Linked DNA regions of Yarrowia lipolytica. The protein of the gene in region 2 purifies or fractionates together with the protein of the main gene of each other region. This does not show direct contact. Links are inferred from orthologs where the notes say so. Each region holds a gene or a part of one and is shown on either strand. Other genes may lie near its edges. The genes, in order: YALI1_D11442g, YALI1_D14300g, YALI1_A19483g and YALI1_F36132g.

What was found.
Region 1: the proteins of YALI1_D14300g (region 2) and YALI1_D11442g purify together in Saccharomyces cerevisiae (affinity purification with mass spectrometry; 8 studies listed by BioGRID, with this or other methods). This does not show direct contact. The link is inferred for Yarrowia lipolytica from reciprocal best matches to the Saccharomyces cerevisiae genes RPT1 and RPN6.
Region 3: the proteins of YALI1_D14300g (region 2) and YALI1_A19483g purify together in Saccharomyces cerevisiae (affinity purification with mass spectrometry; 8 studies listed by BioGRID, with this or other methods). This does not show direct contact. The link is inferred for Yarrowia lipolytica from reciprocal best matches to the Saccharomyces cerevisiae genes RPT1 and RPN12.
Region 4: the proteins of YALI1_D14300g (region 2) and YALI1_F36132g purify together in Saccharomyces cerevisiae (affinity purification with mass spectrometry; 5 studies listed by BioGRID, with this or other methods). This does not show direct contact. The link is inferred for Yarrowia lipolytica from reciprocal best matches to the Saccharomyces cerevisiae genes RPT1 and RPN3.

Annotation. Positions count from the first base shown.
Region 1 is NC_090773.1:1,141,378-1,148,603, forward strand, and holds YALI1_D11442g (uncharacterized protein), read left to right. Parts: upstream 1-2,891; coding exon 2,892-4,214; downstream 4,215-7,226. Other genes in the region: YALI1_D11406g (uncharacterized protein), read left to right, coding at 1-450; YALI1_D11437g (uncharacterized protein), read right to left, coding at 756-2,342; YALI1_D11479g (uncharacterized protein), read right to left, coding at 4,372-6,603. UniProt on the Saccharomyces cerevisiae protein: Component of the lid subcomplex of the 26S proteasome, a multiprotein complex involved in the ATP-dependent degradation of ubiquitinated proteins. In the complex, RPN6 is required for proteasome assembly.
Region 2 is NC_090773.1:1,426,414-1,433,837, reverse strand, and holds YALI1_D14300g (uncharacterized protein), read left to right. Parts: upstream 1-3,798; coding exon 3,799-5,109; downstream 5,110-7,424. Other genes in the region: YALI1_D14333g (uncharacterized protein), read right to left, coding at 3-524; YALI1_D14329g (uncharacterized protein), read left to right, coding at 877-2,364; YALI1_D14304g (uncharacterized protein), read right to left, coding at 2,506-3,396; YALI1_D14276g (uncharacterized protein), read right to left, coding at 5,574-6,182. UniProt on the Saccharomyces cerevisiae protein: The 26S proteasome is involved in the ATP-dependent degradation of ubiquitinated proteins. The regulatory (or ATPase) complex confers ATP dependency and substrate specificity to the 26S complex.
Region 3 is NC_090770.1:1,944,122-1,951,001, forward strand, and holds YALI1_A19483g (uncharacterized protein), read left to right. Parts: upstream 1-4,122; coding exon 4,123-4,908; downstream 4,909-6,880. Other genes in the region: YALI1_A19441g (uncharacterized protein), read right to left, coding at 1-3, 47-176; YALI1_A19459g (uncharacterized protein), read right to left, coding at 254-1,714; YALI1_A19515g (uncharacterized protein), read right to left, coding at 5,858-6,880. UniProt on the Saccharomyces cerevisiae protein: Acts as a regulatory subunit of the 26S proteasome which is involved in the ATP-dependent degradation of ubiquitinated proteins. Necessary for activation of the CDC28 kinase.
Region 4 is NC_090775.1:3,607,547-3,615,184, reverse strand, and holds YALI1_F36132g (uncharacterized protein), read right to left. Parts: upstream 1,935-7,638; coding exon 513-1,934; downstream 1-512. Other genes in the region: YALI1_F36127g (uncharacterized protein), read left to right, coding at 2,479-4,206; YALI1_F36094g (uncharacterized protein), read right to left, coding at 4,262-5,779. UniProt on the Saccharomyces cerevisiae protein: Acts as a regulatory subunit of the 26S proteasome which is involved in the ATP-dependent degradation of ubiquitinated proteins.

The DNA.
Region 1 (7,226 bases), about 290 kb from region 2:
CACATGTTCCTGGTCTACGTCAAGGACAAGAACATCATCTCGGGCGAGGTGCTCGGCGAGTTTGACAAGAAAGTCGTGCATCCTCTACTTGGAGTGATCAAGCAAGACGCTGCTGTTGGAGCTGACGGATCTTGTGAGTTCTACGACGCTGCGCTGGATAACAAGTCTGTTTACAGAGAGGCCGGCATGGCACCCAGCAAGCCTCCTACCCCTGTCAAACTGGACACCCCGACTCGTCGACGGACGTTCGTGCCTACTTCCGGACAGCTCCCCGGAGCAGGTGCCCAAGCGGGTGACGGACTTCGCCATTTCTCCCACAGACTGATGGATGACCGACGAGGCTCTTCAGGATACACCCCGTCCAGCTTCGGCAACACCGGACCCAGTGTGCCCAACCATACCACATTGTCTGGATCTCCTGTTGGCCGTCCTTGGAGGAGAAAGCAGTAGTGGACGTATAAATACGGCCCAACTACCAGTATATATTTAATTAATGCATTCCTTCATAATGAATATCGCCGCCCTATAGTGAGCGCTGACGTGCAGTTGAAGTGTTCGTACTGCACAGTCAAAGACTCGTGGGCGGCCAGGATCTCGCCATACGCTGAAATGATATCTTACATGTTCTATTAATTATAGATGCTACCTAATTATATACCTAAATATAATCATTCCTACTCGGTATCTCTCTCTATCCTAAAGTACTACAAGTATAGAGCTCTCGCAGTCGCATGTACTAGTCCTCGCACAACCTCTTAAACCTCGTATCCGAAAATGAGCTCTTCGGCCCGCTTGGCGGTCCAGGACAACCAGCCCGTCTTCTCAGCGAGACCCGTTTTCTTGACTTTGGGGTTGGTGATGGTCTTGGAGGAGGGCTGCTTGAACACGGTGTTGGTTCCGTCTCGAATCTCCAGCCGCTTGGCGCCGTTGAGAGCAGGCAGCGATGTGGTCCGAGGCAGACTTCGCTCCGAAGAAGAAACAGATGCAGATGCTGAAGGGTTGGGGTAGAGGCTAGTGTTCTGCTGCTGAGTCTGGGGGAACTTGGACTTGATGGGCGAGTCTTGGTAGTCTGAGTCCATCATGCTGGCGTCGTGCGAGTCCAACATAGAGGCCGAAATGGCGTCAAAGTCGCGCATCTGCGATGGCGTGTACGGCTTGCAGCCAATTACGTACTGGCCGGCAAACTGGGTGCCGTCTTCGGCCAGCGCTCGGATCACAGACGCCTTGTTGTCATAGGTGATTTTGATCCAATTTCGGCCAGCAAAAACAGGAGGTCTGTTTCCGGGAGGAGGCCGCTTGACTGGGGTGGTAGACAGACCGAACGAGGCGTCGCTGGGCTCTACGTTCTCCATGATCTCGCCAAAGTTGTTAAAGTGCGACACGATGGACGGCGTGAGATGCTGGGGGAACCCGTAGACAACGACGGACAGGTTGCCATCGCTGCCCATCGCCAGTTTCCGGGGGGTGTTAGCATGGTTAAAGGAGGCAGTGGCTCGCAGAGTCTTTCGAGCGGCTGTTGGGTTACTGCTGAAAGTCTCCGAACGACGCATCCCCGATCCAGCCGAGTTACCTCGTCGAGCAGCACTAAAGGGCGATCCTCGCGAGTCGTAGATGGACTGTGTGGGTGGTAGCTCCTCCTCGGTGATGGTATGAGTCTGTTTCTTGGTTCCGGAGGGCTTGGGGGTGCCGAAGGACGAGCCTCCGACGCCCGAAGGAGGGGATTCTCCTGCCTTGGCAAGCGACGACTTCATTGTAGGGGAAGTAGACGCTCTTCTAGTGAAGCTGGCAGATCGTTCGGGGGTACGATCGCCGGCGTAAAAGGATGACTTCTGCTTGATGGCCGAGAGATGGGAGGGCACGAATCGTCGGTCGTTGGAGGTCCAGGAAGGAGCACCTCGAGACGATCGGAAGCCTGGAGTCAGCGGGGCACTGTGTTCTCTCATTTGCTGGTTACCGGCACCATAGCTGTTGCCGTTGGATGCTCCTCGTAGATCGTAGGCCGATTGCGAGTGCGACAGGCTGTACGAGGGGGCCCCTCCGTTGTTGTTGGCGGAAGTTGGAGTGGACAGAACGTCGCTGTTGAAGAAGGAGGACTGGGACTGGTTGAGCGACGCATTGCCCAGGGAACCAAACGACGTGTTACCGTTAATGGTGGACGTGCCAAAGGTCGACTGTTGGCCAAACGAGGGCTGGGCCTGGGTCTGGGTCGTAGAAGAGGTGCCAAAGGGGCCTCCAGTGGACGCTCCGAAGCCTCCAGACGTCGACGAGGTGCCGAATCCGCCGGTGGACGACGACTGCGAGTCGAACCCATTAAACTGACGCTTGGCGGCTTGTCCAAACATGCTGTGGTGCGGTTTCGTGTTTTTTTTCTGCCTGTGTTTGTTTGCAAATAAATGTTGTTGTGAACAATGTGCTTGTCACAGGCACTCACAGGGTTGGGACACAGTTTGAGTTGGGAAGTAGGGTCTTGACTGCCAGGTCGTGCTGTAGGTGGGTGAGTGGGAAGTAGCAACGAGTAGCAACGAGGTTGATTGTGGCACATATCGTGACCGAAAAAGATACGGAATTAATCCTTGCGAGATAGGAGGGCGATTGGCAGACTCAATCACTCTTCCGATCCGCTCAATCACCCCTCCTGGAGTGTCTGAACCATCGCTGTGTGTGTATCCATAACCTCTTCTGTTATGGTCAAAACAAGACCCAAGCCATATGCTGTATCTAGAATGCCGGCGAAGACAAAAACAAGTTTTGTTCTCATCAGGAGAAGTAGTAAACCAGACCCCATAAAAACCGGACCCCAGGACCCCTATATATAATCTTGTTCCCCCGCCACTCACCACATTCAAAGGGTCTTGCTTATTAAGCGACAACCTCCCAAACCTTAGCTGTCAATGTACCGCCACCACATACGACATCTGGTCCAGACACATCTCACACTCTCAAACGACACAATGACTCTAGAAGAAACGCTGGCAAGCGCCAAGACCGCCGGAGACAAGGGCAACCTCGTGGAGGCCGAGAAATTGTACCGGGAGATTCTCGATCAGAAGGCTGGAACCAACGAGAAATCGATCCAGATCCAAGAGTCGGCTCTCATCAATCTCGGCACTCTCTACGCCTCCAACAACAAGCCCCAGGACCTCGCAGACCTCATCCATACTAGTCTGACGGTAATGAGCGGCTTTGCCAAGTCCAAAACCGCCAAAATCATCAGAAACCTCATTGATCTTTTCGCCAAAGTGCCGTCTGACTGTATCGACCTGCAGATTGCCACCACACAAAAATGTATCGAATGGGCCGTTTCGGAGAAACGAAACTTTCTGCGACAAAGCCTGCAGACCCGGCTGGTGTCGCTGTTCCTGGAGAAGAAGACGTACTACGATGCGCTCAACCTCATCAATACCCTGCTCAAGGAGCTCAAGAAGCTCGATGACAAGATGGTGCTTGTGGAGGTGCAATTGCTGGAGGCCAAGGCGTACCACGCTCTCAGAAACATCCCCAAGAGCCGAGCCTCTCTCACCTCTGCACGAACCTCCGCCAACGCCGTCTACTGCCCTCCTCTCACCCAGGCTGCTCTAGACACCATGTCTGGTATCCTGCAGGCAGACGACAAGGACTATAAGACAGCATTCAGTTATTTCTACGAGGCATTCGAGGGCTACGTGGGCCAGGAAAACCCCAAGGCTGGCACTGTACTCAAGTACATGCTACTGTGCAAGATCATGTTGAACCTGGCCGATGACGTGGAGACCATTCTCAACAATAAATCCGCACAGGCGTACCAGGGTCGAGACGTGGACGTTATGAAGGCGGTGGCAGTGGCCTATGCCAACCGATCGCTCAAGGAGTTTGAGCACGTGCTGGAACTATACAAGGAGGAGGTCCAGGCCGACCCCGTCATCAGAGTGCACTTCAACGACCTGTACGACTCGCTGCTGGAGCAGAATCTGCTCAAGGTGATTGAGCCCTTCAGCTGTGTCGAAATCAACCACATTGCTGAGATCATTGGCCTCGACACCCGACAGGTGGAGGGCAAGCTGTCTCAGATGATTTTGGATAAGGGCATCAAGGGAGTGTTGGACCAGGGCAACGGCTGGCTATTCATCTATGATGAGCCTCAGACAGATAAGACTTACGATTCGGCTCTGGAGACCGTCAAACACATGTCCACCGTGGTCGATTTGCTGTACGAGAAGGCCTCTTCTCTCAACTAAGCAATGTAAAGTAGCTTAATGAAATGATGAAGATGAGAGGGTGTTATTACTAGTAGGAATAAGACTGGAAGTACAGACTGGAGTATTTTAATACTAATAGTGAGGTCTAATATTGTAGTTATGATTAATTATGCAAACATCTATTTCAGTCACCAGACTAATTCATCAGAGCAGAAGCCTGGAAAATGCACTGGAGGAACTCTTCCAGCCGTCCGGAGTCGACAAAGTCCCGGTAGATTTGTTGCTGGTCGTCGGCAACAAGAACAGACAGTTCGATGGCGTCGGTAACAAATCGAGGGTCAATGTGCCGCGATCTGACATAGACAGACAGTAGCTGAAGAATGACATAGGGGATGTAGATCTGTCTGAGATGAGACAGGTGGGTGTAGTCCTGTGGCCTGATCTCTTGGTTCTCTGTGTATTGTTGCAGGAGTTCAATGAGCCAATCGTGGATCAGCTTGTCGGACTGCCGTGCAATCTCGGTTACCTTATGGGCAATCTGGGTGTTATTCTCATGGGTTCTGGGGGAGTTCATGAGCTCTTCCCAGCTGTGCACGGCGTCCAGGAAGAGAATGAGATCGTAGAGCTGCTCGAGTTCCCGAGCGACAAGCTCGTCGAGCTCGTTACCATCGGCTCCCAGAGTGTCTGCCTGGTATTGCTGCATCAGCATGGGCACATTGAGACGCATACCAGCTTCTCGGGCAGCTCCGACCTTTCCACAAAGCAAGAACCGTCTGAGAAGCTTGACAGAGGCATCGATGGTCTCAGACCACATTTTGACGTCTTCAAACCACTCCACAGCCCGGTAGAGGCGCACATCGGTGTCTTCGACCTGGTTGTCGAACTTCACAGCAATGATGTCAGGAATGACGTACTGGGACATGCTTTCATCAAAGACACGCGCAACAGCAGCCTTGACACATGCCTTGATGTCAACTCCGTATTGGTTAGCCAGGTGTATCTGCTGCTCTCGTTCAGAGGGGTCGGAGATGTTGGCCAGGTAGTAAGAGTATTGGTCAGTGACATCTTCCGAGTCTAGGAAAGAAACATAGAGAGGAACCAATTCCATGTGTCCCTCTCCAGCCAGCCGTTCAACGTAGGCAGAGATGATGTTGTAATGGCTGATATCCAGTTCTTTCTGGCCTCCATATCCATGGCGAAGAGCAAGTAGAAGATGCACAAGAACACGTAGAATGATGGAAGACTCGGAAACAGCATTGGGCTGGCCCGTGCTAGCAGCAACTCTTAATGCGTCAGAGGAGGTGGACGCAATGGTCTCAATTGTGTTGTTGATGACCGCTCCCACAAAGGTTCGGATGGGGTTCATGGCCTGTCTCTTGACGTCAATGTTAGAAGACTCGGCCAGCAGTTCCAGAGCGTCCTGCATGGAAGACACGTGACCAGGACACACGAGTGGGATCAGAGCCTTAGTCTTAGAAGACACTCGGTGAGCATCATTCAAGGCCTGCTCAAATTGATCGCTGCACATGTTGTTAGTGTACGCCAGCAGTTGTGTCTCCCAGCTGTCGCTGACCTCCAGAACCGTGCCTACATCTCCTCCCAGGAAGCCGTACACGGCCTTCTCGTAGTCTCCGATAGGCGACGCAGCTACACTGAGACACATTCGTCGCCATAATGCGGTTCGTGTGGTTCCCACAGCCTTGGCGTCGTCCAGAGGATCGACATCAGTGTCCTCCATGGCTGCAAGTCCGCCAATGGCCATCTTGAGCGACAAGTTTCCGGTCTTCTCAGCCAGTTGACTGGCCTCCTTGATCTGTCGTCTTCGGATGAGATCAAAAATGGCCCGGAAGAGCTTGCTGTCGTATCCGGCGTCTTCTCCTGCAATTGGTTTCTTTTGTCGAAGGGGGGCATCGGCGTCCATCTCCGAAACCAGGGTGCTGGTGTTGCCCACAGATCCTCCCCCAAGTCGTTTTTTGGAAGCAATGTCGCTCTTGGTGTGCATCCACTTGGAGCCCCAGATCTCAATATTCTCGTGGTCCGACGGCGTCAGGTTGTCTTGCAGCCACCGGTTGACCAGAAACGTCTCCATCACACGAAGATGGGTCTGTTTGTACTGTTGAAGCACACTGGCGTCTGAAGAGAAGGGGAATACATCGGTAGTGGTACTGTCTCCCTCCACGTCCATCTTGTCGTCGTTGTGAGTCTCGGCAAACCGCTCTCGGGCCTCAGAGAGGGTCGCAGTCAGCTGCCAGAACCGGGCCTCCAGTTCCCAGTTGCTGAAGTTCTCCGAGTCCATAGCTTCTTCTGTTTCCTGGGCCGTTTGGGCAGCCAAATCTCGCGAAATGTCCATGAATCGGTCAATCAGCTCCAGAGGATTGTCCATCAGCGCCTCCAGGGCCGACGCAAACAGCTGATACTCGTCTTCCATCGCGTCTATGTCGTTTGAAGCGGTGTGGATTAAAAAACAAACAAATGCTGCAGCCCATCACTACCGCACTTTTTATTGTTTTAGGTTGCAGGTTGGGAGAGACGACGACGGGGTTAGGGTGTAGAGGAGCTGCTAATTGGGGATGATGGAAGGGTCTTGGAATGAAATAGATGACTCGGACGGGTTTTTATTGGGGTCTTACGTATATATGTGTTGTTTTTGGCCTTAAATGTGAGGTATTTCCACGTTTTTGATGCTGTTCTTCTTTTCATAACAGTTAACAATATAGTTGACCTTATACTTAGCTTTACAGTTGAACAAAAAACAGTTGAACAAAAAACAGTTGAACAAAAAACACAATTAAATGAATTTACAGTAAGTATATGCAGAAAGAAAAAAACATGAAACATTTAAGCTCATTAATAATGGCAAGATAATATAGAGAAGCCGTTAATAGAGTGACTTACAGTAGTCGTATCACAACACTTCAACTTGACCATTACTTGGTATTTCTGAATGATAGAAACTGAATTAGCATTCTAGAACACTTAGTAAGCACATACCCATCTTTTTTCTGCTCTGTCTTCGTCCCAAGCCTCCATTTGAGGCACAGTTGTCCACTC
Region 2 (7,424 bases):
CTCTAATCATCATCGATGGCAGCAGCCGATCTAGACACTCCCCACTTTTCTCGGTCTCGTCCGTCTTTGTACATGTTGATATCTTCCTTGGTTGGTTTCTCCATGGTTGCCTGTCTGAGGTTCTCATCTTTCAGGGCCTGTTCTTCCTTTTTGCGCTGGTCCGATTTCAGTTGCTCAACTGTGTATTCAGCAAACGCCTGAGGCTCAATTGCTCCACACAATAGTTCCACGGCTATTGTGGAGTTCTTACTCTTTAAACTCACCAGGCGGGTTCGGACGGCCGACTTGTATTCCGGCGAGATTCCGTAGAGGTCAAAGAGTCGCTGTTCGACCTCGTTTGCCACCTGAGTCGAGATTTCGTCGTCCTCCTCGTCTTCGTCGGCGGCTTCTGCCAGGGCCTTTTGCAGCGACTTTTTCGTTCCGTTTCGCACCTCCATGGGCGATATCGCCGACACCTTTTTTGTGCGCGCCTCGGCCTGTGATTTCAGGTACTTTTGCTTCCAGTTAGTCGGCAGCTTGGCCATGTCTATGTGGTTCTTGAGAGGAAGGCAGGTGTGTATGGAGGGAGCTTGGATAACTTGGAAGAAAGGTGCATGAGACAGGCATGAGGGATGCTGGGATCAGGTTATGAGGAGTGGTGAATGGAGAGATTTTTCTGTGTTCCAGAGCAACAGTATGACCAATCAACATCTTATGATATCACCACTGTGGCCGCCGTCTCATTTATCTCTTTCATTCCTGGGCTAGTCTCTGCCTACTGTCCAGCTCGTCATGGGTTACCCTGCATATGCAAGATAGCGAAATTTTGGCAGGTCTGGAATTTTTTTTGACTACAGTTTGACAGAGTGCAGGCTCGACTTGAAACAGTACACAAACATGGCGAAATTATCTCTGGCCGAGCAGATTTCTCAACTGGCTAACCCCAAGCCCAAGGATGTGGATATCGAGAACTTTGAGGACCGTGACGATGGTTCCGAGAGCGGTGGAGACGTGGATTACGACAGTGATCTAGCGACAGAGCACTATGTCAAGGTCGGCAAGAGCAAGCTGCGAGATGATGCTCCTGCTCTAAACCCCAAGTACAAGGCCGGCAAGGTGAGCAGGAAGGCTCTTTATGACGACGAGGACGAGGACGGCGATGGCGCTGACGGTTTCATTGATGAGGACGACGAGGACGATGAGGAGGACGATGAGGAGGGAGAAGGCAATGGTTTCATTGACGACGAAGTTGAGGTTGATGAAGAGGACCAGGACGAAGACGGAGATGAAGACATGGAGGATGAGCAGGATGAGGACGAGTCTGACGAAGAGCTGTCTGAGAACGAGAATGACAGCTCGGCTAGAGCCACCCTCAAGGAGCTGCTGAGGGAGGAAAAGAAGGCGTCCAAGCAGCAGGCCAAGGAGGCTATTGTTTCCGACGCACAAAAGGGATTCGCCATTCACAAACAGACCGATCTATACGAGACACTTCTGGACGCGCGAATCACATTCCAAAAGGCAGTCCAGTCTGCCAACGCTCTTCCTATCAGCGATACTAAGGCCGAGGAGCTCGGTGAAGACATCACCAACACTCTTCAAGACACAAAGGCAAAGTTGTCGGACTTCATCTCCCAAATAGCCAAGATGCGACACAACATGGCTGTGCAGGACAATGTGTTTGCTGCCGACTCCGTCAAGCTATCGACCAAGCGAACTTTTGATGCCACTCTGGATAACATGGACAAGCTGGATACAGAATTCAAGGCATACGAGACTTCTGTGCTGAGCAAGTGGTCTCAGAAGGTGCAGGCCTCATCTGCGGCCTCCGCTCTCAACTCCTCCAAGTTCAAGGCTCTGAACCAGTCTTCTGCCAACCAGGTCGCTGCTACTCTGGCGGACATGGACCGACTTGTCAAGCGAACTCGAATGAATCGATCCAACGTTGTCATTCTTGGCGAGGAACAGATGGGCGCCATTCAGGACGCCGAGGGCGAAAACTACTACATCTTTGATGACTCAGACTTTTACCGAAACTTACTCAAGGATCTGATTGACCGACGAATGGTGGATTCCGGCTCTCAAAGCAGTGGCGTCAAGACCTGGACTGCCACAAAGGCCAAGACCAAGAAGAACGTGGACACAAGAGCATCCAAGGGTAGAAAGCTGCGATACCATGTGCAGGACAAGGTGCAGAACTTTGCTGCTCCCCGGCCGGTTTTCACCTGGGAGGACGATCAGATCGACGAGCTGTTTGCCGGTCTTCTGGGGCAGCGAGTCAACTTCAACGAGGACGATGATGGAGAGGAGAAGGAGAAGGAAGAAAAGGAAGAAAAGGAGGAGCAGGAGTTGGTTATTCCCGACGACGGTCTCCGAATCTTTGGTTAGTATCAGTGGTTTTAGCATGGGGTTTTAAGTAGATGTACTTTAATAATAGAGGCAGGTGCCAAATGAAAATGAAGAGTATACAGGGCGTATTAAGTAGTGTAATAAGAATAAATAGTAGTAAAAGTACAGTATATACTGGCATTATTGTTTGGCCGGTTTCTTGATCCCTCTGAGTTTCAATTTCGGCCGTGGCTTAGACTGTAGCGTTCTGGAGAGCTCTCTAGTTTGTTGTGCAAGTGATCCTTTCTGCTTGGTAGAATCAAACAGTCCACCGTGGGATAGAGACTTCAACCTGAGTTCTTGCTCCGCCACTAAACCCCTTTCCAGGTGAGGAACCATCACTTGCGCTTCCTTAGCAAGAGGTAGATCCCGCAGAAGTCCCATTTTGTCCTTGAGAAGGTTGTCTCTTTGGTCTTGGGCTTCCAATGCGCGTTTTTGACCTCTGAACCTGTTCCTCATCTTATATGACAGGTCCTGGTGGTATCTGGCTTTGTCCAGATGTTCATCATACATTTTCTGTGTCTCTTTGGCCGCGTCATCAGCCGAAAGCACCGACGATTTGAAGGTCCATTCAGCGATTGTCTCTCTGCTGTCTTCGGACTTAATATGACGTTGTTTGAGCTCCTCCTCGGCCTTTGCAGCCCTTTGTTTGACGACTTCACGCTCGACCGCCTCAAAAGGGTTGCTTGGAGTTTCTTCCTCTCTCTTCACAACCGACTGTGTGAAGGTAGCTCCTTCTACGGTCACGTAGGTAGCGTTCTTCGGATCCGTCTCAATGACAATGGGATGTCCACACTCAGCATGTTTGATATCAAAGCGCCAGATGGGAGACGACAGATAGCTGCCGTGGCGTGTTTTGACCGCGTTGAACCGTACTCCTTGAGCTATGGTCTTGTCACATCCATGGCATTTGGCAGACAGAGGAAGCTCGAATCTGACAGTTGGTTTGCGCGGATTCGCTCCCGCAAGCTGGTTGGCGGACGACTTGCCGTCGTAATCTGGCGGGTAGTATTTATTGGTCGCTTGCGACATTCATGGGTGTTGTCTAAGTGTTGTGTATTGTTGGCTACAATTGATTTTATTTTCTCCATATGCAGGTTGATAGCGATGAGGTTATTGATAGGCATATTCTAAGTATTTTTGTTAGGAGTACAGTTGGTAGTTACTTGGACCAGGTGGAAGGCAGTAGAACTGCGTGGAACGAGAGCATGGCCACGTGGGGAACTTTTAAATAGCCATTTCCTCTGGGAATCGTCAGATTGTTATTTCTATCCAAGTGACCATTTATCATCCCTCCTTCCATTCTGTTGCCACCTGATTACTAAGTGCAACCGCGCATCTGCACATTGCCACCTTCCACCTAACCTCCATCAAAGCCAAAAGTCCCACACATCAAACACCACACGACACCACCACCACAAACCACCACATACAATGCCACCAAAATCTGATTGGGAAAAGTACAAGGCCCCCATCGACGAGGATGCCGCGCAGGAGAAGATCATTCCTCTGTCCGAGGGCGACATCCAGGTACTCAAGACGTACGGAACTGCTCCCTATGGTACTGCCCTCAAGAACATCGAGAAGGACATCAAGGACATGCAAGCACGAATCCAGGAGAAGGTCGGCATCAAGGAGTCCGACACAGGTCTGGCCCCGCACCACCTGTGGGACACACAAATGGACAAGCAGCGAATGAGCGAGGAGAATCCTCTCCAGGTGGCTCGATGCACCAAGATTATCGAGACTGCTGAAGACCCCGGAAAGAGCAAGTACGTCATCAACGTCAAGCAGATCGCCAAGTTTGTCGTGTCGCTGGGCGAGCGAGTGTCGCCCACAGATATCGAGGAGGGGATGCGAGTGGGAGTCGACCGGTCCAAGTACCAGATTCAGCTGCCTCTGCCACCCCGAATCGACCCTTCCGTCACCATGATGACGGTCGAGGAGAAGCCCGATGTCACCTACTCGGACGTGGGAGGCTCTAAGGAGCAGCTGGAGAAGCTGCGAGAGGTTGTCGAGCTGCCTCTGCTGTCTCCCGAACGATTCGTCAACCTCGGAATCGACCCTCCCAAGGGTATTCTTCTATACGGACCCCCCGGAACCGGTAAGACTCTGTGCGCACGAGCCGTGGCTAACCGAACAGACGCCACTTTTATCCGTGTCATTGGCTCCGAGCTAGTGCAGAAGTACGTTGGTGAGGGTGCCCGGATGGTCCGAGAGCTGTTCGAGATGGCTCGAACCAAGAAGGCTTGCATCATTTTCTTCGACGAGGTCGACGCCATTGGAGGAGCCCGATTCGATGACGGAGCCGGAGGAGACAATGAGGTGCAGAGAACCATGCTAGAGCTCATCACTCAGCTCGACGGTTTCGATCCTCGAGGAAATATCAAGGTCATGTTTGCCACCAATAGACCCAACACTCTAGATCCCGCACTCCTGCGTCCCGGACGAATTGACCGAAAGGTCGAGTTCTCACTGCCAGATCTCGAGGGCCGAGCTAACATTTTCCGAATCCACTCAAAGAGCATGTCTGTCGACAGAGATATCCGATGGGAGCTCATTTCGCGTCTGTGTCCCAACTCCACTGGTGCTGAGCTGCGATCCGTGTGCACTGAGGCCGGCATGTTTGCCATTCGAGCCCGCCGAAAGGTCGCCACTGAGAAGGACTTCCTGGCTGCCGTCGAGAAGGTCATTAAGGGTAACCTCAAGTTTAGCAGTACTTCTCAGTACATGCAGTACAACTAGTCTGTGAAGATAGAGGTAATAATAGATGATGTTATGATAATGGTACAAGCACTTGTACCAATGAGTAGAGAGACGCGCTTTGTGCTGTAACAGACAACGTAGACTTGTATGTAATGCTTATCCTCAATCGTTTTTGAGCGGTTGACCATCTCGTCACTCGAGGTAACTGGCCGCAAGTACATTGATAGAGGTCGATGATACGTAATTCCTGATGTTGTATAAAAATGCGATTTGTGACTTTGTCTATCTATATAAAACCCCACTGCTTCTTAGCAGTCCTATTTCATAATCAGTCCTTTTCTTTGCGTTTGCTTGTTTGTTTTTGTTTGCCTTGTGTCCATACTCCAAGGAGCACAAGAGTGTGCCCGGAATACAGAGTGCTGTCCGGAACACCTAATAATGCATATATATATCCTCCTCCAACCGTCAACCAAGATGTACCTGAAGGAACATGGTTCTGTTGATTACTCCCACCAAGACACCAGACCCATGCCTTCTCCCTGGCAACTGGCAATCAGAGAGTAAGGAGGAACACCTGGCTTCTCGGGGTCCTGCTCGTCGTTAGGAGCAGCACTTCCAGCGTAGCCCTGCTTGAGTGGAGGCAGGTCCTGGAACTTTTCTTGTTCGATTCGGAACCGGATCTTTTCGTTGGTATCCAAAAACAGCTCCTGCTCCTCGTCAGGACACCACATCCAGGCCTGTTCTCGGGCGACAAACTGCGAGTTTTCAAACAGCAGGTGTGCGGGGATAAAAATGTCGTCGAAGAACTCCATCTTCACCTTGATTCCTTCCGCGGTACAGCTGGAGATCCAGCCCTCTAGTACCTCTCCCACAAACGGCCGGAAAACCACCATTCTGAAGGTGATTTTCACAAATGCAGCACCGTCGCCGGACATGACCTGGCCTTCGCCGACAGTGATCAGGTCATAGACACAGATGCACAGACCCACTCCGTCGATGATTTTGTTAGCGTAGCAGTTGTTAATCTCGTCCACAATAGCGTCGTTGAGCGGCTTTTTGAAGCTGGTGGGATCGAGTCGAATGAGATCTGTGAAGCGCGTGAGAATGAACATTGCGATGGATGAGACCCAACTCAGAGACAATCTTGATGATAGTTGCACGGTGTAGCTGGATATTTTTTAAGGTCTGCATCGCACTGCATATCCCTAACCACATCTTCACTTTTTCTACACAACTCCCAATGTCGCTTAGTAAGAGTCGGTACCAGCAGTGCCCACGATAGTCACCCCTAATAAGGACAAACGTACAAATTCCCAAAGCGGAATAACCTCCTAGAAATACGGAGATAACCGCTCTTCTCCATTCGGACACCTTAGCACCTTAATTTCGAATATTCACACATACTGTACTGACAAAACACACAAGAAAAAAAAAAAAAAAAAAAAAAAAAAAAAAAACCCAGGCCACTCCCAAGGTAATTAAACCCAACGCAATTGGCCATGACACCCGTCGACGAGGCGGAGGATACGAGCAGCTCTAGTGCCATTTATACACTACCCTAACCCGGGCCGATATGTCGACCGACCAACAAAAAAACGTCAACCACAGCCCGACAGTAGGATCGCCCCCAAGTCGTTGAAGAGGCATGGTCACCCAGCAGTCGTATTTTAGGTGTTCTAAGCCTGTGATTGTAACGGGGATCGTACCGGTACTGTGAGACGGGCAGAAGAAGCAATTACGTAAGCTGGAGGAACGCCCGCAACCCTCACAACCGCCGCGTTGGCACTCGTATTGCACTTCCTTTCCTTAGGGGTTGCTGCTAAAAAGTGTCTCCGTCATTCCCCACAATAATTCTCCGGAAAACCTTACGGGGGTTAAGCCTAGCCCAATAGGACATGGTGCGAATGGGTGTGGTCATACCCCAGAGGTTTCGTGGGGCTACCGTCAAGATTGTGACACCTGGCGAGTTGGAAAAGTATCCCATAAAGTATGTGAATAAATTAATTCGGATTCTCCACGTCTTCGTCTTGCCGAACCCGCCAATTAAACACCGCGAATCTTGATCCGGTTCATCCCGGACGTGTCCAAACTTTGTTTGGTGAGTATTAGGTCGCATGTCATTGGCCAATGGCCCGCATTACCTAAGCTCGGTGGGCTTTCAACTGGCCGCACGCAGATTATTTCTCTCTCTCTTTTTGGTTAGACCATACAAGTCGATCTGAGTCGGTGAGTAGCAAATTGCGCGGCGGAGGACGGGGCGCTTCGAGGCACATTGACGGCAGCCATTCGTACCCACGATGTGGACGGTCTTGCCCGGTATCTCTCAGTGCAACAGGTTTTTCGTTCGGCAAAAG
Region 3 (6,880 bases), on a different chromosome or scaffold from region 2:
TATCTTCTTCCTCATCACCACAAACACTACTCTAACGTAGTTTTACCTTGTGGTGATATCTGAATGAGGGGGAGGGAAAGGGGGGAGAGTCTAACCACGACTCTAAAAGATGTCACAAGAGTAGAGATAATAGAGACCCTACCCAACTTTATCAGTAGTTCAGTCCACCCACCCATTCAATTTGCTGCTGCTCATGAGCGACAGTTTTAGTATGGCGCCCCAGCATCCTCCCTCGTGCTAAGCACTCGTTCGGTTACTTGGCTTCACTGGCCCATCCAACAATATCAATACCACTCCTGCCACACTTTCGATCCACCTTGATATCAGACAGACCACTGGCATCGTCCAAATACCGATGATTGCTCATGCCGCCCGCATCGGCTCGCTGTTGGGGATCCATCTGCAGCATTGGCAGCAGAAAGCTGGCCAGCAACTTGGCCTCCTCCTTGCTATGGTTGTATTTCTCATGCAGAACTGCCTCCAGTGGCCAGTCCTTCAGCTTGGAGATCTTCTTGAGCTCGCCCTTGTCGTTGAAGTACTCTGACGTCCATTTGCCGGTCTGCAGCACGCTGGTAGGGATCTTGCCGAGCAACTCGATGATCTGCGCAATGTGGTCGTCGTCCTTGGAGTACTTGGAGCCGGTCTGGGGCTCGAACAAATAGTCGCCGGTCAATAGCTCAAACACCAAACACGACATGGACCAGATATCGCTGCTGGCGCCCCAGAACGAGCCCAGCAGCACCTCGGGTGACCGGTACTGTCGCGTCTGGATGTCGTTGGTGAAGTGATGCTCGACCCAGCACGCGTTGCCGAGATCGACGATTTTGACGCTGATGAGCTCCTCGGCCAGCGCGGTTCTCGGCTTGGTGGGCGATACCGATGTGGGGCTCTTGGACAGCTGGTTGCTGGTCTTTTTCTCGTGGTCGTCGTCGAGTCGAACCTCCTCCACCATCTTGGTCATGGTGAGATCGTTGAAGAAGGACGCGTTGGAGCGCAGAGGAGAAGGGAGTGGCTGGGAGCCGGTGATGAGAGATTGTCGTCGCGATCTACGACCGGTTCTGGACCCGGGTTTGGTCTTTTTCGTCTCGACCGCCGCGCGATCCTCCTCCTCGGCCAGCTTAAGCATCTTCTCCACGTCGCCAATCTCAATGAGCACGTTTTCAGGTTTGAGGTCGGTGTGCACAATGCCGCATTCGCGGTGCAGGTAGTCCAGGCCCAGCAACACCTGCTTTGTGATCTGCTTGACGAGCTTGACGGGGATGCCGGCAAACTGGTGTCGTCGAATGAGACCCAGCAGATTTTCGCCCAGCACCTCAAACACCATGCAGTAGTGTGTGCCGTTGGGGCCCACGTGCTTGAAGCTGTCGTACAGGCCCACGACATGGGCCTTGCCTGGATGGTCGGGGTTCTTGCTGCTCACCCGCTCCAGCATTTTGATTTCGTCAATGGCCGTCTCTGTGTAGTGGGAAGCCGACCGCACCACCTTCATGGCCACGTGGCGGTCGTTGTTCTGCGTATCCCGCGCGAGCCACACGGTCGAGAAGTGTCCCCAGCCCAGCTTGCGCACAATCACGTAGCGGCCGTTGGCAAACTTCTCGCCGATCTTCACGGGATGGTAGCCTCCGGGACAGTAGTCGTCCAGCGACTCTTCGTTTTTCTGCAGCACCTCGTCCTCCGAGTCGCTGAGGTCCGTGTTGACGGTGAGTTTCGACATTGTGTGCAACTGGATATGTGATGATGGTCGGTGTTTGTGTCGTATAACCACGGACGAGTACTTTTTTTCTGGTGGATTTCGTCTCGACTAGGCTGGTTAAAAGTGTTTGGTGTAAACTCGGGGGTGTTGTGCTGTCGCGCTGTTTATGTAACGTCGGTTTGTGTCTGCGTCACGTCGTCTGTGTCTCCAACTGAGGGTCGCACGTTCAACTTGTATCAGTATGTCGTCTGGTCAAGTCGTCTCAGAGTACGAGTTCACTAGATATCGCCAAACTTGTTTTGATTTTAAAGTTGCGCATGCATGGCGTGCTGTGGAGGGCCTTGAAGGGGGTCCAAAGAGGGACTTGTAGACGCGCTAGAGACAGAGAAACCCCGCCAAAATACTCGCCCAATTTTTCTCTCCTGATTTCTCTTTTCAGAATCGCGCTGGGACCCCCACAGCCCATTCTAAACACACTCTCCTGCAGGTGCGGCAATCTACCCTCCAACACGATAAGATGAGCTCATGTTCATAACACCGGTTGTAGAGGCCCAAAAGCGGCGGAAAAACGGCTTTTCCAGGTCAATTGCCAATCGGAGCCCATTGCCGGAGATTTCCGCCCCGCCATTTCTTCCCCAAGTCCCCGCGTAACCCTCAGCCCTAAGTACATCCTGTCACGACCCACTTACCCTAACAGAAAACACATCCCAGCCACGCATACCCCATGCATCCACAATGGCAACCCTCCCACATACGAGCAACTCGGCGCGCTTCTTGAGATTAGGAGATAAGCCAGAAAGAGCGGGACAAGTCCGTTGGGGTGGGGGGATGAGTGTGTGGAGGTCACGTGACTCCTTCCGATGGGTGTAATCTGTATATTTTTGACGACTCTCATGCGGGAACATGGTGGTATTGCACTTGGAGAGTATATATACCCTGCTATACAGGAGAGCAAGAGAGAACAGTTGTACTACAAGTGGCACAACCAGCGGTACTTGTACTCTGTAGAACTCCGATTGCACAATTTCCACATGTACCTGAGAGAAGCACCATCTGCCTCTTGTCTCGGCACTGGCTGGTGTCTTTTGTTGTCTTTGGGTGACGTGTTTCAGATGTCTTGACGAGTACGAGTACGAGTATGTACGAGCGAGTACAATACACTTGGATACGATGTGATATCGGGCAGAATTAGAAAAATCGAGTAAAATAGATTGGAATCGGGAAAACCCCCGATTTGATAAGAGTCGATTTTATATATATTTTGAAAATTGAATTGCACAGGTTTCGAGCAACGCGGCCATTTTGACCCCTTTCTATACCAGTTGTTTGGAAGGCCTATATGGTCAATATTGGAATAAGATGTTTTTTAGAGATGACAATTACGTCATATTGGAGGAACATAAAAAGGCGTATGCAACGGACAGAATGGTGGCTCAACAAACTAGAAAAGACTATGGTTGGAATCAGCAAATCAATAGCTCTCGATCAGTCAAAAAATTATCGTCATATTGGCAAAACTGGCCTCATTAGAAGCCCTCTCCAATCCCTTGTCTCATGGCAAAAAGTAACGATCAGTTAGTAAAACTTTTACTACAGTGCAGTACTTGTAGTGTGACCTGGGTCAAAAAAAAAGATGGAGGTAACAAACAGAGCGGGTGTCAAGTCTACAAGTGCATTATTGGAACGGAAAAATTCCTTAAACGGGCATTTCTGGCTACTATACATACATCAGTCGTCTATCAAATAGCAACGAATCTATCTCACGCCACAGAGGAGATATTGGAAATCTGACAAATCCGTCCTTCTTTTCATGCCCATTTCAATCAGTTTATCATCTCTCGGCGTGTCCTTATCCCTCTTATAAGGTGCTGTTTGTTCGTCACCATCAGTCAGCTTTCAGTTGGATACTGAACGAGTATGTACTGTACCGTAGAAGAACATCCTGGGGTAATATTGGCCAACTGACTCTTTCAACCAACTCCGAATCTCATCTAATCCACTTCTGACTCTTTCGTTACCCTCCAGCTCACTTATTCGTCTCACAACCTCACCCGTTCTCTTTAGCAGAGGTACTCCTTCAACTCCAGAATACCATATCAAGAGCCATATATTTCCATATCCAATGGTATCATTTGCACGTCTCCCAGATGCCCATACCGCCAGTTAATCGCATGTCATCAACAGTCCAGATCCATGACACCCCCAGCCCATGTATGACTAAGCAGGTGGCAATCAATACCACTCAACTCATCTGTGGGCCCTAAAAACTCCATCTCCCCCTCTTGTGGAGCCGATAATGACCCCCTTCACTCCGCCTTTTCGCATACTCTTAACCTCTATGTGCATGCACATCGCCACTTAACCTAACTGTAGTGACACGATCCAGCACCACTCAACCACTCAACCACACAACCGCAATCACAACGACAATGTCTCCAATCGCATCTCTGGAAAGCGCATACAAGGCCGGCGACTACGAAAAGGTGGAGCAGCTGCTTTTGCCCCTTAAGGTGGACATGGCCAAAAGCGGGCTTCTGACGTCGCCCAACTCGTCTGGTCATTCAAAGGCGGACCTGGAGGCAGCTCGAACGGCGCTCGAGATTGGCGCTCTGTCTGCCGTCAATCTGGGCAAAGAGGCCGAATTCACCAGGTTTGTGGCGCAATCGCGGCAGTTTTATGGCATCCAGGGTCTTTCTGCGTCGCCCCACGAGTCCAAGATTGTGGCGCTCTATCTGCTGCTGCTGCTGTCGCAGAACGAAATTGCGCAGTTCCACACCGAGCTGGAGTCGTTGGACTTTGACACGGTGGAAAACGACAAGTTTCTATCGTTCCCCATTAAGCTAGAGAGATGGATCATGGAGGGAGCCTACGACCGGGTGTGGAAGGCCATCACCAACAAGGACGCTGTTCCCAGCTCCGAGTTTCTCTGTTTCGCCGACCCTCTAGTATTTGCCATCCGGGGTGAAATTGCTTTGTGCGCCGAAAAGGCATACACCTCGCTGCCTCTCAACAATGCTCGACATTTGCTGTTTTTCGACTCGGACCAGGGCGTGGTGGACTTTGTGCAGGAGCAGCCTGGCTGGGAGATCCACGGTGAGCGAATCACCTTCCCGGGTGTTATCAGCGAGGACGCCACTCTGAATAGCAGAAAGGTGACCGAGAAACTGATTGGAAACTCGTTGGAGTACGCCAAGGAGATGGAGCAGATTATCTAAGGGAGCGACAAATCGGAGATACGATACGGAAACAACAATCTATCGGTACAGTACCGGTTCGGCGAGGATCTCAGTGTCACTACCATCTGTGATCTGGCCTGACCATGATGAAGTATGAATTGTTCTAGATGATGCATATTATAATGAGCAGAAAGTGTGTAGTGATAGTACGGTACGTGTATTGAATGAGGAAACCGCCGTCTCTCATCTAGTGTCCTTCTAAGGTGAATTGTCGTAGGACGATGTACATACGCATGTTGTAGGTCGACTGTTGTACTTGTGGTCACGTCTCACTCGACTGTCTGTGTTTTATTACAAATAATTGATGTAAACAAAATGGGCAAGACCAGTGCAACAGATTGATACTACTTGTATCTACTTATCCATGGAATGTCTGTGGATCGTGATAAGGGTCGTTTGAGGTGATGGAGGATTAGTTGACCCAAGTCACATTTTACTTGAGTTTACTTGGGTATTGTAACAACAGCCGTTGTCTAAATAAAATGGCGTCACGGAAATAAATGAATGTATAAGCAGAAACAACCCAGTATCAGCGTATTCTCTGATCTCGGGAGGGTACAATGTGTGTTTCACTACTGAGAGTGCCTAGTAGGAAAATGTCCAGGGCGCCCTTCTTACCTAATTCACCAGCTACAGCTCAGAGGCCTGCTGCTATCTTGATCATAATGCATTAACCATTTCCTTAGTGTATTGAATTGCTGACGATACTGCACAGTCATGACCTGTTATGAGATGTAGGAGAGTACTCGTAGTCTTAGCGACGGGCTTGACTACGTTCGACGCACGACTTGATCGCTGAAGTAGTTCGCAGTAGCCACCGTCTACGGCCCAAGAGACCCACGGAACATTGCGCCCAAGTCACCGACCACCGAAGGTCCTGTCACAAGACTATGTCTCGTCTTCCCAGGAGAGTAGTCTAGACAACCCATCAAATGAGTTTGCGAAGGAGGTCATCGCCGAAATCACCCACCTTGCAAATATACGCGGCGTTGTTCACCACGCCCTTGTTGAGCTGGTCGGACTTGTCCAGCTCGGTGCACTTTTCCAAAAAGGCGAGCACCTTCTTTCGCTGGGCCTCATCTAACTTGGCAGCATGAACACCGACAACGGTGGTGATTCGCATGGTTCGGGGGGTAATGGGCCCGGCCAGCCCGTCGATTACATGGTCAAGCATGTCTCGATCCATATCCGAGCAGTATGAAAGGGCGGTTTGTAGTACAGACTTGATATGAGCGTCTGCTTCATTTTTGTAAAACTGGGCTCCCAGGGTCTTCAATAGAGCGTCAGTGTCCTTGTCAGAGACGTGTTTGACGACATTGAGCAGAATCTGTGCTCCCAAAAGTCTCAGTTCGGGAATGTAAGGGAAAGCCAGCAGATTAGTAAGTCCTTGTTTGAGCAGTGGACTAGCTGCCAATTCCACACAATAATCCTTCTTGTTGGACGCCAGTTTGAGGAAGTGGCCTCCCGACTGCAACTGGTCCGTGTACTGGCCAGTTTGGAGCAGAAACAGCGACTCTTCAATCAGATGCGGGTACTTTGTCAGCACAGTGGCCAGATCTGACTCATTAGTAATCAGAGTACTAGTCACCGCAATCCAACAGGAGGGCCCAATTCCGGCCAATTGAGGGTCCCAGAACTTGAGATCTTTCAATTGGTACACAAACTCGAGCTGGTTCATGTTGATACCTTCCGAAGCACACACCAGAGCGGTGTAGAGGGCTCTTCTGAGATCAAGAGGGGCCAAAAGAGCGTCATCGGGATTGTCCTGCGATAAATCCACTACCAGCTTGTACAGTTTGTCAAATTCCACCATCTTTCCTGTTTCCTCGTCGTTGACCATGACCAGAAGCAGCTCTGTGGCTCCCGGAACATTGGAGTCTTTCTGGGTACAATTCAGCAGATATTGGTAGACCGCCGCGAGGATTCTGGGGTCCAGTTTTAGTCGACCAAT
Region 4 (7,638 bases), on a different chromosome or scaffold from region 2:
TGATGATTGCCCTGTGTCGGTGATTGTCGTGAGTCAAGGTTCGGTGATATTTACATCTTCAGATGGTGGTTTGCAGCTGCAGCAATAATTTTGAGTTTTTTAGGAATTGGCCCAACGTACTGCAAGTAGTTCCCGTACCTAATTACTATTGTACTGTACCGGTATTTGAAGAGGAAAGCTACCATCATCTGGTTTTCCGTCATACGAATAAGAATTACTTATTATCCCGTGTAAATGAACCCAAAAACATCTATTTGTCGATCTCATAACCTCGTACTTGTACACAGTAGTAACCTATGTTATTGTCATCTCTACTGCACATACTATACTCGCCTAAAAGGAGAAGGAGACATGGTTACTTGCAATAAAATAGGATAATAGGGCATCACAGAAACGGAGTCTGGGACAAAGTAAACGCCCACGTTGTAGTCTACAGCTGCCATTAACCCAATTACAATTTCGTAACACATTACCTACAATGGTGGACATTCTAAAATCATATGCTAGCCTATCTAAAGATCAAAATCCTCGTCGTCATCGTCGTCCAACTCGCCCTCCTCAATCTCCTTGACCAGCTCCCGCTCTCGCTCACGAGCCTCGTCAGCATTCTTCAGATCAATTCGGTTGGAGTTCATGGGGTACCGCATGGCCTTCACACTGTCGTTGTGGAGACCGATGCAGAAGGCAATTCGGTCGTGGAAGGTCTGCTGAGGCTCGTTAGTAGAGTACACGTCCAGCACCTCCTTAGATTGCATGAATCCTCGCTCCGAGTCGATGGTGGCTTCAATGACACCATCTCGAATGGCCTTGGCCACAATGTACTCTGCAGACTCCTCCGACTCGAGTCTCAGACGGATACAAATATCCTTAAGAGAGATTCGTGAATATGCCAGAGACATGATTCTGATACCGGTCTTGATGACATTCTGTCGCAGACGCAGAACCAGGGAGTAGGTACCATCGGCCTTGAACACGGATGCATACTTTTTGATTGTGTCAGCAAACTGGTTGAGATCACCGACTCGCACAGCCTTGACCACCTCGAAGTAAGCCTTGAGGCTCTGCTCCCGTCCGCTCTTGAACACGCTTCGTTCGGGAATGTCGCCCATCAGCAGTTCGATCACAATGTTGAGTTTTTGTGCGGCTTGCAGGAAGCCGGCAGCCAGAGGGGTCTGAGGCGCCTTTCGGATGGCTCCAGTGATGTGGGCGTGGGCAGCTGTGTAGTCAAGCTCGATTGCTCTGATTTTGGACAGATAGTACATGTAACGAGCGGCCAGAGCGTTGGCGGCGTTTTCGGGGAAGTTGACCTTGGACACGAGGTTAGAGGCCTGGGTCACATGTGCACAGAGCAGGTAGTTTCGCAGCAGCAGGGTGATCAGCGAGGCCTCAGTCTCGGGGTCATGTCGGAGAGAGGCAGTTCGCAGAGATGCCAGCAGGATGGGTCGGACAGCCTCGAGGTTGCCACTGAGCTCCTCACCTCGACACAGGTAGAACCAGATCTTGGAGGCAAGGTAGTCGAGCGATCGTCGGTTATAGGTTCTCAATCTAGCCACCACGTGCTCGCTGAGTTTCCGCAAGTCGTCAATTCGGTTCTCGTGGAGCAGCCAGGCCTGGAACAGCAGTGAAACGTACATGTCGATCTCTGGTAGAGGCTGGGTGGTGGCCTCAGTGGCGCCAGAGGCTCCATCAACCTCCATTTCGTCGGTGTTGGGGTTGACTCCAGCCAGAGCAACAAACCCGCTTCTTCGCTCATCGCCAGCAGGGTAGGTCATGACGGCGATTTGTGCCAGCAATTCTGGAGTGAGCTTTTTTCGTAGAGCAGGCAGACCTCGTAGGACTCGCAGGACGAATCGCTGGTCGAAGGAGGCGACGGCCTTCTCCAGAAAGGCGAAGGATTGCTTGATTTCAGCCAAAACAGGGTGGTCTGTGGTCATGGTTGTCTGTGCTGAAATGAGTATGATTGTGTGGTGATGAATCCTATGTGATTGAGTGTGGTGATGTGTGGCGACAACCTTAATTGGTGGTGCTTTTGTAAGTGGTCACGTATAGGTGATTCCGAACGAGCAGCGTGTTATTGGGAGAAGACGTACTGTAGATGGGGTTCGGTTCAACATTTGAGGTAATTGAGCGACGGATTGATGTCGTTAGATGGAGATTATACAGAAAGGTGTAGCTCATAACCTGTACTTATGGCGTACAATAGCATAATGTGTGCATGCGATAGGAGTATACATGTATGAACCTCAAGTTGGTTGATGAAGCTAAATGATTTCATAAGAAGTACTGGTCGTGATGTGGGATTATAGATACAGATATTCGCCACTGTCGCACACCCTCTCTCCGCACCTCCACTCCAAGTAACAACCCACCTTAACAACCTTGATCTCCAGCTGCATATGGACCATGAACTTAATTGAATGAACTCCAATTTATAATATACAAGTGGTCACCTCACTACAAGTACCAACAAGAACTACTATGCCAGTGTCGATAGAAGAGCTCAAGGCTTTGCAGGTTCAAAAGAAAGAGGCTTCTAAGCCAAAGTTCATCTCCAAGGCTAAGCGGGCCGAGATGGCTGCGAAGGCCAAACAGATCCAGAAAAACACGACATCTGAAGAGACTACGTTGAAGGATATTCGATCTACCACCGACCTGAAAAGGTCAGTTGTTCAGGAGACTGTGGAGACCACCAAGCCTCTCCCTTCGAAACCCAAGCCAAAATCAACCTCTGGAAAGTTTTCATTCGACTGGAGTGCTGCAGATGACACCTCCAAGGCATATCAGCCCAGCTACAGTATCGATTCCGGAGATGGGCAGGTGCCCAAACGCCAAAAGCGTGACCTGGAGGACGCACACTGGTCTGATAAACCTGTGGAAAGCATGACGTCGCGTGACTGGCGTATCTTCAAGGAAGATTACAGCATTGTCACCAAGGGCGGAGGAAATATTCCCAATCCTCTTAGGTCGTGGAATGAGTGCAAGGAAATACCAGGAATTGTACGTGATACAATCTCTCGAATGGGATACAAGGAGCCCACGCCTATCCAGAGAGCTGCTATTCCTATTGCTCTAGGCATTCGGGATGTGATTGGCGTTGCTGAGACAGGTAGTGGTAAAACTGCCTCTTTTCTGATCCCTCTGATCAGCTACATTTGTGAATTACCCAAGCTAGATGAGAGATCGAAGGTTAATGGTCCCTACGGTCTTATTTTGGCCCCCACTCGAGAACTGGCTATGCAGATCAAAGACGAAGCAGTCAAGTTCTGCGCACCACTCGGCTTCAAGGTGGTTTCTGTCGTTGGTGGATACTCTGCTCAAGAGCAGGCTCTGGCTGTACAAGAAGGAGCAGAACTAATTGTTGCTACCCCTGGCCGTTTGCTTGATGTCATTGACAGGCGACTGTTGGTTCTAAACCAGTGTTGCTATGTGGTCATGGATGAGGCCGACCGTATGGTGGACATGGGCTTCGAGGAGCAAGTCCAGAAGGTTCTGGCGTCTCTACCCTCGTCAAATGCTAAGCCCGACTCTGATGAGGCCGAAAACCTTGCGGCTGTATCCACCAGGCGATACAGACAGACCATGATGTACACTGCCACCATGCCCGTGGCTATTGAGAAGCTGGCTAAGAAGTATCTTCGACGTCCCGGTATTGTCACTATTGGTTCTGCTGGCCAGGCGGGTTCTACAGTCACACAGCTGGTTGAATTTCTTAACACTGACGAGAAACGAAAGCGTCGTCTTCTTGATATCATTAGTAAGCGACAATACCGACCCCCAATTGTCGTTTTCCTCAACTACAAGAGAGACTGTGAGGCCGTTTCAGATGCTTTGGTTGCAGCAGGATGGAGAACAGCTATTATTCACGGTGGAAAACAACAGGAGCAGAGAGAACAGGCTGTTCAGCATCTTAAGCGAGGTGCTGTGGATGTGCTTGTTGCCACTGATGTTGCTGGTCGAGGTCTTGATATTCCTAATGTTTCGCTGGTCGTCAACTTCCAGATGGCGAACAACATTGAGTCCTACACACACAGAATCGGACGTACTGGACGAGCCGGTAAGCGAGGTACTGCCGTTACCTTCCTTGGTCAGGAGGATGATGACGTCCTATTTGAGCTGAAGCAGATGATCAGTCGATCTGAGGCAAGTCCTAACAACCAGGAGTTGAGCAGACATCCTGCTGCTCGAATGAAGAAGCTGCAACAGTAGCTGTACATAGTATGTATATAAAAATATGCAGTATTTATTAAGATAATCATATAAATTAATAGTAGTAGAAGAAGCTGGGATTTAGCTCTCCTGCGATTCTCCTATCATCTTCGGAGAGAGCGTTGAACTTTTCAATGTATTCTGGTGTTCGCTTTCGTTTGTTTTCCCAGGTGATTCCAGCGGCATAGACAAACTGCATAACAAGCGAGAGACAAGCGAAGGCAAGACAAACGGCGCAACCAGGCGTATAAAATGGAGCGTCGTTTGCTTGGAAAACAAAGGTCGAAATGAACCCAGCGCAGTTTCCGAACCCAATCTGCCATCCTGACGCGATAGCTCGCCTATGATGGCCTAAGAAGTTCATTTGGGTCCAACACACAAACAGAGGCATAGCAGTGTAGGTTCCGGCACAGATCATGAACAGAGAGCCATATCGAGTTCCAATTTTGTCGTGTACGCCAATAACAACTGCCAGACCAGCTATAGCAACGATACCGGCGAACACTGCAAAATAGAATCTATGTCTGAGGTAGTCTGAGAAGATGGCTGCCAACATTGAGAAACCAAAGGCCGCCACCCAGGGAGGGACCGAGTACAGCTGGGTCTTGACATCAGAATATCCTAACGTCTTAACAATAGCTGTCCCGAAGTAAGCGTATCCGTATGCAGGTACAATGGTGCCGAAGTACATCCACCCCATGACCCACACCTTCCAGTCAGAAAAGACACTCTTAACGTCTTTCCAAGTCATGGGTCTCTCGGCTTCACTGGCACCTGCATTTCCTACTTCAAGCTTCTCTTTCATGAACTGCCGCTCATTCTCAGTTAAGAATTTAGCGTCCTCTGGGAAGTCGGCCATTAAGAAGAACATGATGATAGAGATGAAAGCAGTACAGGCACCTTCAATGATGAAGATCCACCGCCACGAAGCGAGGCCTTTGTCTCCATCGAGATTATGAATACCTGCGGCAATGAGACCTCCAAAGGCTCCGGCCAGGGTTGTGCTTGAAAAGAAGAAAGAGTATCGCTTTTGGGCCTCTTCTCGTCGGTACCACATGGAGATCAGGTAGAAAGACCCGGGAAACATTCCTGTTTCAAAGAGTCCTAGTAAAAACCGTGTGGCCAGGAGTGCAGAGTAGTTGTTGGCGAAGCCCTGACCCAGAAGAGTTACTCCAAACAGTAGCATGCTGCCTGTCAACCACACGTGCGGCGTGAACTTCTTCATGAGCCAGTTCGAAGGAATTTCAGCGACAACATAAGGAACAAAGAAGATTGCAAGAGCGGTATTGAAACGGTCACCGTAGAGATTGAGATCTTTACTCATTCCGTAAACATTGGCGTTGGAAATGTTGACTCGATCCAGGAAGGCAAGAATGTAGAGGATACAGATGACAGGAATGACACAAATGTCGACCTTGAACATGAGTTTCCTTTGATTTATACCGTACTTTTCAGCAAGTTGCGCAATTTCAGCGTCGATAACTTCTTGCGGGACTTGACCCTGAGGGTACTCGACATGCTCAAGCCCCCCTGACTCGGTGTATTCGTCGTGACTTAGTGATTCTTTATCCATACTGGCTTATGGGTGCCAAAAACACTTCTAGGACATCCAATAGGTTATATAGGCCTCGGAACTGTGTCTCAGATCAATTCAATGATTCCCCGCATTTCAAGACAGAGTTCAAGAAGCTGGTGTAGTGCATTGCTTATGTGCCAAGAAGGAGGAGGAGATGATCTGGGCACCATAATGCTTGGCAACGTTGTACTTCGTTGGTAGACTTGAGTGGATGAGAAATACCCGTCGTATAACAACCCCAAACCGCCAGAACAGTTATTCAAACACATGATGACTCACGAGCAGAGTTTTTCTGAACCTAGCCAACCTTGACCGCATAGGGTTCAGCCTTTTCTGGTCAAAAAAGCATAGACAGATGACAAAAGACGATAGATGTCTTGATTTGATGAGACTGTGGGGGTATTTGTGTTAGATCAAATGTGTTATTGCAGAAAAAGGTGGATAATAATGTGACGTGACTTATGAAATACAATTAGCGACCATTCTTTCAATTGCCTGCTCCAGTTGGTGGACAATGTTCTACCAAACACGGCTGCAATAACGAATGGTAAAGCCCCACCCGGCTGGATAAAGTGTGTTCACCACAGCCGCCTTTTGGGTAAAGTGGTTGTTTATTCTGTGAGCAGATTTGGCCCCCTTCGAAGGTAGAGTGATTCTAGCTTTATAAGGCCATCCCCTGGGTATGATGTAGACAAGTTACTGTAAGGGCCCACGGAAGCCACCTACAGTACAACTACTTACTGTACCAAATACAATACTTTTAGGCAGAAAAGTCAGGTTCATTCGTGGTTAGGTGCATCAACAGAACTCCTGGTACAGTACAGAGTATTATCAAAATCTATAGTCAAATAAAAGTCTAGCGAACCCCCCCACGTCGGCACTGTCTGACTCGTACATACACGGAAGCAGCAAAAAGCAAGTTTTTCATACAAATACATACCCCACCTTTGGAAATAAACCTCAGAGTAGTTAGCCCGTCGTAAAGTCGCGTAATGTCTGTAACTCCGATGAGCATGTCCGGAAAATGTACATTCTATGAATGATGTGAGCGTGGCAATGGATACAAAAAGAGCCACTTTTAGTGCATTTATGAGGTTCCCAGGAACTAGACACCCTCGATACCCGACTATACTTGAGGCGCTAAACTGAATACTTTCTCGGTATCCGCAAAACATCACAAACCGTGCCCGTGTCTTAAATGAAACCAAATCGCAAGCAGGCTTTGTGGGGAAGTTGGGGTAACTTTAGTGGGCCATGGGGGGGGGGAAAGGGGGAGTAGCTCCTGTAGGTAACACTATGTGCTGTACAGTACATACTGTAGGGTGAAGTGTCGTACCGATGTTTCTCTCTTGTCGCTACAAGTAGCTACAAGTAGTACTTTCTCTAAGACCAAGGAAGGTATTACCCTTGTGAGAAAAAAACTAGAAAAACCAAGTCCCTGACTTGTTATAGCAATCCTAATTCTAAAAATTAAAGGAGAAGTTACTCATGGCAAATACTGAAAAACATAATGGTTCTTGTAAATGCTTGTGTAGTAAGGACACACAGTACGCGGGATCAAACAAGCTTGTCATGAAGTGTACAAGTGTCTCTACTTGTAGGGCGCGGTGCCAGTCTCAACCAGGTAACACATCTGTGTGAGAGGCCTTGCAACACACTGCTGTTCGGTGGTGTCGAAGGGAAATTGTTAGGCACATCTACGGTCGTACGATACGACACGTTACTGTTTACTTGTAGGAGGGAACTCGACTCTGTGTCTCTAATTTTAAGATGTAAGGATATATGCATGAGCAGCGGCTCTCACATCGGGAGAGCGTGACAGGGTGGGATGTGTTTGTAGCTATTTAGATTTGTAG